Linked DNA regions of Caenorhabditis elegans. The protein of the gene in region 1 interacts with the protein of each later gene in a pairwise test. Each region holds a gene or a part of one and is shown in the gene's direction. Other genes may lie near its edges.

What was found. Proteins that work in one complex are often made in the same cells at the same time.
Region 2: the proteins of unc-73 (region 1) and madd-2 interact in a two-hybrid assay, tested with the Caenorhabditis elegans proteins (one study listed by BioGRID).

The regions. Positions count from the first base shown.
Region 1 is NC_003279.8:4,030,140-4,033,893, reverse strand, and holds the start of unc-73 (CRAL-TRIO domain-containing protein), read left to right. Parts: upstream 1-2,154; 5' UTR 2,155-2,266; coding exon 2,267-2,287; intron 2,288-3,754.
Region 2 is NC_003283.11:1,233,825-1,237,578, reverse strand, and holds the start of madd-2 (E3 ubiquitin-protein ligase TRIM9), read left to right. Parts: upstream 1-2,133; 5' UTR 2,134-2,144; coding exon 2,145-2,376; intron 2,377-2,561; coding exon 2,562-2,669; intron 2,670-3,381; coding exon 3,382-3,754.

The DNA.
Region 1 (3,754 bases):
CACATTGTTTCTACATAAATTTTCTCTCACTAATAATATCCTTAACTTTGAGCCGCCATAAAACATTTGTAAGCATTATTGAAAAATCTATGTAGTTATGAAACTCGTTATCTTTGCGTCATTTTTAATATCAAAAAACATCAAAAAATTGTCGGTTACTACCTTTAAAAATTAGTACCACAATGCACCACGTGACAACTTCACTGAACGGGGGTAATAATATTCCAATGATAGTAACTGTCAAGTGTCGATCCCTTTTGTTTTATGATTTCCGCTTGAACGGTCATCGTATACTGTTTGGCTGAAGAGACATGTGGTGGTATAATCCTCTGGGAAATCCAATCTTCACCATGTGTCTCGAGAATATCTCTGATGTTGACTTGTTACTGTAGGATTGAGTGGAATTGATATTATTTTTGATATTAGGGCGATAGCGGTCATTTAGTTCAATTTTTGGTCATTTAGTTCAATTTAGTTCATTTAAAATTTCCTAGGATTTTGTTTTACGGTGTTCCACCGACACTAAAAACTGATTGTTCAGATCAGAGGTGTACGTTAAATTTTTTCGACAATTCTACAAAATGGCCTGATGTGGCATGTTGGTCTGATATTTTTCATTAAAATTTAGTGTCAAAATATAGGATTGATTGATCTGAAAATAATTTTTTAGTTGAAAAAAAATCCTTAAAAGTTGTCTGAAAGGTGAAAATTGCTGGAATAAATCAGACAAATTATTGACACTTTTTTCCAGCAATTGGCAACTTTCATGCAATTTTTAATCATATTTTCACATTTTCAAACTTAAATGAAAATTATTTTCTGATTAATAAATTATTTGTTATATATTTTTGCATTAAATTTTGATCTGTTTTGCCTGTTGAACTAAAATGCTCTAGTTCAGATACAAGTAGTTTCAAAGAATTTGAGAGATTAGATTATAAAGACATCTCAACAACTTCTAGAGCTCACAACAGCATCTATTGAGTTCAATTGAAAAATTCAATTTTGGAGAAGAAAGGATTTAAACAGAATTATCTATATTTGAAGTGTTGCTAACATACTTCTTGTCATCTGTCGCCTGCATCGTTTGCACCTGCCACCATTACCGCCATCTCACGTCGTCGTCTTCTTCATGTCTTCTTTCTTATTTTGCCTGTTGTGTCCCCGGCGGTCTGTCCGGTCCATCAACATCCGTCTGCGCGCGCAGTGACCCTTGCGTTCTCTTTTTACGTCTGCGTCTCTACAGGACACTAGCACTGTCTCATATGACCAGCGGTCTGCTACAACGGCCGTTAGCCTCCCATAACAATTCGCTTGTCTCCCGCTTTCGTACGCTATTCCCGGAGCGGTGCCCACCCCAATGGTTGGGCCCTCTTGAGAGAAATAGTTCGTTTTGGTAGCTCTTCCTTTTCTTCTTCCTTTTCCACGATTTTCGCATTTTCACACCCAACGATTTGTAATGCGTTGTGCAACTAATAATTGAGACTAGATTCATCACATCTTTATTTGCTTATTTTATTTTATGCAGTGAAGACATTTGAATAATGCATACTTCCTGAAAAAGTACGTATTCTAGTGAGAAGATCTAATAACGTTTCGCAATGTTTCGACCTTTTCCATCCTATTTTTAGCTGCTTGAGTATAGAATTTCTTCAAAAATATCAATGAGTCAGTCATTTTAAAACAAACTTTAAAATTTAGTTTTAAAAATTGGCAAGACCATTTTGACCAAAATTTGGCAAGAGATTGTTTAGACTAGGGTCAAATAGAATTAAATTAGCTCAAGCCACATGTTGCCAATTTCCGATTTAAGCCATTTTTTTCCGGATTGTTTGAAATATTTTGTATACCAAACTTGTTCCAAGAAGATGTTAAGCTATATGAAAAGCTTCTAAAATTGTAATGCACTTATTTTTAAATGTTCTGGAAAATTTTGTTTTTTCCATAATAATTAATAATTTTGTCTCGATTTTTTCTTTGATTTTTAAAATCTTATTTAGTGTGATTTTCCATGATTTTCGAGCAATATTTCATCAGAAAATTTAAATCGAAAATCAACTTTTTCTCTCTTTTCAATACGCACTCTATTTTATTTTCTCAAATCTCTTTTTTTGAAAGAAATTTAAAATTCTTTGAAAACTGTCATTTTTTCAGATAAACGGGTTCTCATCTGATCGTCACAATACACACACAGACATTCAGAAGCACATGATTATTTTGAATTCAAGAAGAGTCGTCAAATTCGCATAAAATTCCTCCATCAGTTATGGGCGATTATGATGGAAAAGTGAGTTTTTTCAGTTTCATGGTGGCGGCAGCGGCAACTTGTGAAAAAAGAGGCAGAGATGCCGGCGCCGTAATCCATTGAAGCGATTAATGCGGAAAACGAGTGCAAACTGTACGATTTGATAGAGAAAAGAATACGTTTTTGTTTTTCGAATGTTCCGAGAAATGTCTTTTTCATCAAATTTTTAAATTTCAAATAATTTAATTTTGTTTTGTTAATATTGCCCAGACGCAAAGTTTTGCGATATTTGCAATAAAAATACGGTATTCGGTCTCGATACTACAAATTTTTGATGAGCCTTTAAAGATTACTGTAGTTTAGTTGATTATTGATTTTTTTCTCTATATTTGTTTAAATTTATGTGTTTAACAGTTTTTTTGTTGTAAAATTGTTCCGATGAAAAATTTTTTTATAAATAACAATGAAAATTGATGAAAATTCCGCAAAAACCAAATGCTAGAGATTACAGTATTCTTCAAATAAAATTTTATCGTGTCAAGACCGGGTACCGTATTTTGATACAAAAATCGTTAAATTTCGCCTATGAGTAGTAGAAAAAATTAACACCAAAACAGCAACTAAAAAATTTAATATAACTTTAAAGTTTTGCCAAAATTGAAAAAAAAAATTTCCGAGATCTCTACTCTTTTTCACGACTATAAATCTTGATTAGGTCCAAACTAAAGAAAAATAAATCATAATAATTGATGTATTACGATTACAAACCTTCCCAGACAATTGTTGAAAAGTGTAAAATGAGTTCATCACGTTTTTGAAATATGTTATGAGTCAATTGTTTTGTGTCACTCATTCCGAAATTCGGTGCTCTCCCGGTGCTCCTGCTTCTTCTCACCCATTATTTCCGGATAGATCATGAGATGGAGAGACGCAGATAGCACGATAATAGTGACCGGTTGTGTAAAGTTGTGTGAGAAAAGAAACGAAATAGTGGGAGCTTATCAAGCTCTTCCCTCAATCCTTGAAACAGATGGTACTCTCAAAGAGTGCCTTCTCGATTAGCACCAATCTTACTACTAGTATGTTGTTGTTCGAGACAGGATTATGACCTCGAGAAGCGAGGAAAATGTGAGAGAGAACGAATACCAACAAAAAAATCCGAATAGTGTGTGTGTGTAATGACGGCAGTTTATGGCAATCGGGGAAGACATTGAGAATTGTTGTAGTGCAAAAAATTGGAGGAAAAAGAAAGAAAAAATGAAAGAAAATCTCTTGTGTGCCGGGTTTTCTTTCTTCCTTTTTCGTTTTTTTTCGTGTTGGTTTGCCTTGCAAGTAAACTAGTCAACTTCAAAATACTCTGGTTGAGCTTTTACAAAAAGTTCTCTCAGTCTTTTTTCTTTCAAATACAAATTTTTCTGCCCAATTTTTTCACAAAATAAACAAAAAGAGCCAAACTTTTATAGGTAGTTTTTGAGTACATTGTACTGATTATTTTAATTTAAAATCAAT
Region 2 (3,754 bases), on another chromosome or scaffold:
ATCCTCTAACCTCTATGTTTTTTTCACCAAAAACCTTGAGAATAGTGTCCAAAATGCATATCGAACTTTCACTAATCATACTTCCCGAAGGACTTTCCACCTTTCCCCCTTCCAAGCTTATTCATTGTTTCCGTATAAAGGTTTGTGAATATCTCCTCTCTCTCTACCCAAGACACACCAACTTGATACCTTTCTGTGAATATGTTTATTTATTTATACCCTCCTTCCAACTCTCGGTGCGGGTTAAGCCAGTGACAGGCGCCTTAGACTTTCCCGAGCTACTTTATATAGAGAAGAGAACTCGGATAAAATCCAAAAGTTTTTCTTTGAAATCTTTTCGCAAAAATAATAATGAGCTCGTTGGAGGGCCCCCCGATCATCATCATCATCATTTTGCGACCACGAGAACGAGAAAATTATTAAACAGCAGCAGTGCTCTGAGAGACTTCTACTCTTTTTGTGTTCGGCAGAGATTTTGTGGGAAAAAATTTGGCAGAACTTTTTGAGAAGATAAACTAGCTGCAAGGTCAAAAATTTAAAGTTTTGCAACACTTAGAGGTGGTCTAACTGGGTGCTAAAATTCTATGGGAAAAGTCCTTTCAATATTGTGCTTAGGCTTAGGCTTAGACCTAAGCTTAGGCTTAATCTAAGGCTTAGGCTTAGGCTTAGTTTTAGGCTTAGGCTTAGGCTTAGGCTTAGGTGTAGGCTCAGGCTTAAGCTTGGCGTCAGTGGCGAGCGTGAGCATAGGCTTTGGTGTAGGCTTAATCTAAGGCTTAGGCTTATGCTTAGTTTTAGGCTTAGGCTTTTAGGCTTAGGCTTAGGCTTAGGCTTAGACTTAGGCTTAGGCTTAGACTTAGGCTTAGGTTTAGGCCTAGCCCTAGGCTTGGGCTTAGGCTTAGGCTGGGCCCGGGGATGAAGAGAACGAACAGAAATTATAGAAAATTCAAGAATTCAGAAAAGCCTCTCAATTTGAAATTTCTTGCTCATTTTTCCCTCATTACCATCACCCAATCGATCATTCATTGCACAATCAGTTGAAGCTGTCTCCATCTTGTCTCATCGCATCCCCGTCCATGTCAATCCCGCCTCTCCTTCCCCATCCCTTAGCCCCGCCTACTTTTCTCTCCGCGCGCGTACGTTTCCCTTCCGCCTCTAGCTCTCCGTCTTTTGTGTCCTCTCGTCTTCCGCAAAGTTCCCATGACTGAAAAAAAATTTTGGGTGTTCTTTTCAGGATGTGTATGGGAAGAATTATTTTGATTTGGAATTTTTTGTTTTTATTTTTTTATTTTTGCTCCGTTCTACTCTGTTTCTTCAAAAATTTATGAAATGTAGGTGTTTGTAAACCTTATTTCATTGTTTCGCTCGCTCAAAGTAAATTCTTTACTTTGGCCTATAAAAATTTCGTTTTCAAAATTTAGGCTTATTTCAACATGGTGGTCCAAATTTTTGAATCTAAAATTGATTTAAAAATGTAAAAAAAAATGTTTGTTCTATTTGATATTATCATTTATTTTTTTTGAAAAGCTTGAAAAAGTGCTCAAATAGTACCTAAAAGTTCGTTTTTGTCGGCATTTTTCAGACACTATTTGAGGATTGTTTCAAACTTTTCATCAAAAAAAAAAAATTATTTTCGGAAAGAACAAACCTTTTTCGACATTTCCATATCAATTTTAGATCAAAAAATTTTGGATTATCATGTTGAAATAAGCCAGTTTTGTGAGTTTGCCGAAAAAATGCCGCCCAGCTCTATTCCAGAGTGCAAAAATTAAGGGCTCAAAAATTGCCCTAAACCTAATTTTTGAGGGCTTTTAATTATTGGAGAGTATTTAATCGTAAGCCGTTAAGAAAAAAAAATATGTTTTTTTCTGCTGGAAAATTTGAAATTTTTTTAAGTGAAAATTTTCGAATTTTTCGAATTTTCATCCGGTGAGCTTCTTGAATTTTTTTTCTTGAATATATGTTTTCTCATAACGTTTCATGTCATATGTTTATGCGTTTATGTAGGCGACGGCTCTTTGCACACATTCACACACACATGCACTTCAAAATATAAAACAACTTTCTTTCTTGATCCGAGATTTTTCTTTTTTTTTGTTCAACTTCAACTTCCACCTGACAATACTCAAATTTCAGTCCCTTCAAAAATGGAGGAAGAGCTCAAATGCACAATATGCATTCGATTTTTCGAAGACCCCATCATTCTTACCTGCGGCCACAGTCTCTGCAGAATGTGCGCCCTGAAAGCCCACCAGCCGTCAACCTCGTCGGGAAGCTCGTCCACTTCATCGCCACGTCCCTCGACACCTGGAATTTTGTCACAAATTCTGAGCTCGGCGAGCTCACCGATCTCCCCACAAAGTGCTGGTAGTAGTAGTGGTGAGTATTGGTGGTTTTTTTGTTTTTTGTTGGTTAACTCGTTGACACCATATGTCATTGGGTTAATGGTATTGAGTAATCCAATTTCGGCACCGAGGTGCCGACAAAAGGGAAGAATTGAATGAAGAATGGAAACTAATTGAATACGAATGGAAAAAAAAACTAATAATTATTAATGTTTGCAGGAGCATCTGACACCATGTCACTTTGTGTTTCGGACAATGGGGACCATGAAAGTGATAAGCTATCAGTTGTGTCGGAGACCGATTCTGGAGTCGTCGGATGTGGTAGAAGTGAGTTGATTTTCTTGAGATTGGCTTACAACCTATATAAAAATTGTTGGGTGTAAATCTAACAAGGGAACCATCAGAAGGTGCCCATCGGACTTGCATATGAAACCTATGCCATTCGATAGCCCATGTCTTAAAACGGTTACTCGTGAATTTTGAGCTGCGAATGTCCAGAACCAAGCTCACTGCGAGCTCTCAAAGATTCTAAAATAGCACTATAACGAAGCACTGTAACGATGAAAAGAAGCAATTTTCCAAATTCACTTTGGTAGCCTATATCTCCGTGGATAAATTTTTTTCAGAAAAGTCATCAACTATAAAGTTGTTGATATTGTTGTAAAAAACAAGTTTGTAGTTAAAAGTTTCTACCAAAAAAATTTTTGTTTCAGATAAAAGCATTAAAATAGCAATAACTGCATAAAAATAACAACAACAGTTACCGCACTTCACGCGCTTCTATCTGAAACAACAATTTTTTTTGATAAAAACTTTCAACTACTCGAAAGGAGGAAGACAGTCCTGTCGGTAGGCAGGCACAAGTGGGCCTGTAGGCAGGCAAAACGTGTCTGCCTGATCATCTGGACTATAGTGCAAACTATTCAATTTTCCTATATTTTCTAAAAATCCTGTCAAAATTGAGAAAGATTCTCAAATTTATTCAGGTTCAAAATTCAGAGATCAGAATTTACTTTCTTCAACTTTGATAATTTTCCAGCCAGTCGACCGTCAAGCATCATCGGTCCACCTCTATCCCGCCTACACAACATCCTAACACCATCCACAAGCGGCGTGCAACTTGTCTGTAATTCGTGTCAAAAGCCGAGCTATTTCTGCGATGAGAACTCGATCGTCAGCGCGCCCACGAATCTCGCAATGCAAAACGTGATTCGAAGGTATCTGCTGGCCCATCCGGACAAGGCGTTCTTAACGCCGTCTTGTTCTGGAAGTTCTGGAAGTTCTGGAAGTTCTCAATCGTCCGATGAAGCATCGTCACAGTGTCAGCTATGCGAGGGGAGTGAAAATCGAATGGCAAATGTGTTTTGCGAGCAATGCGACATTTATTACTGCACACCTTGTCAAACTGCGTT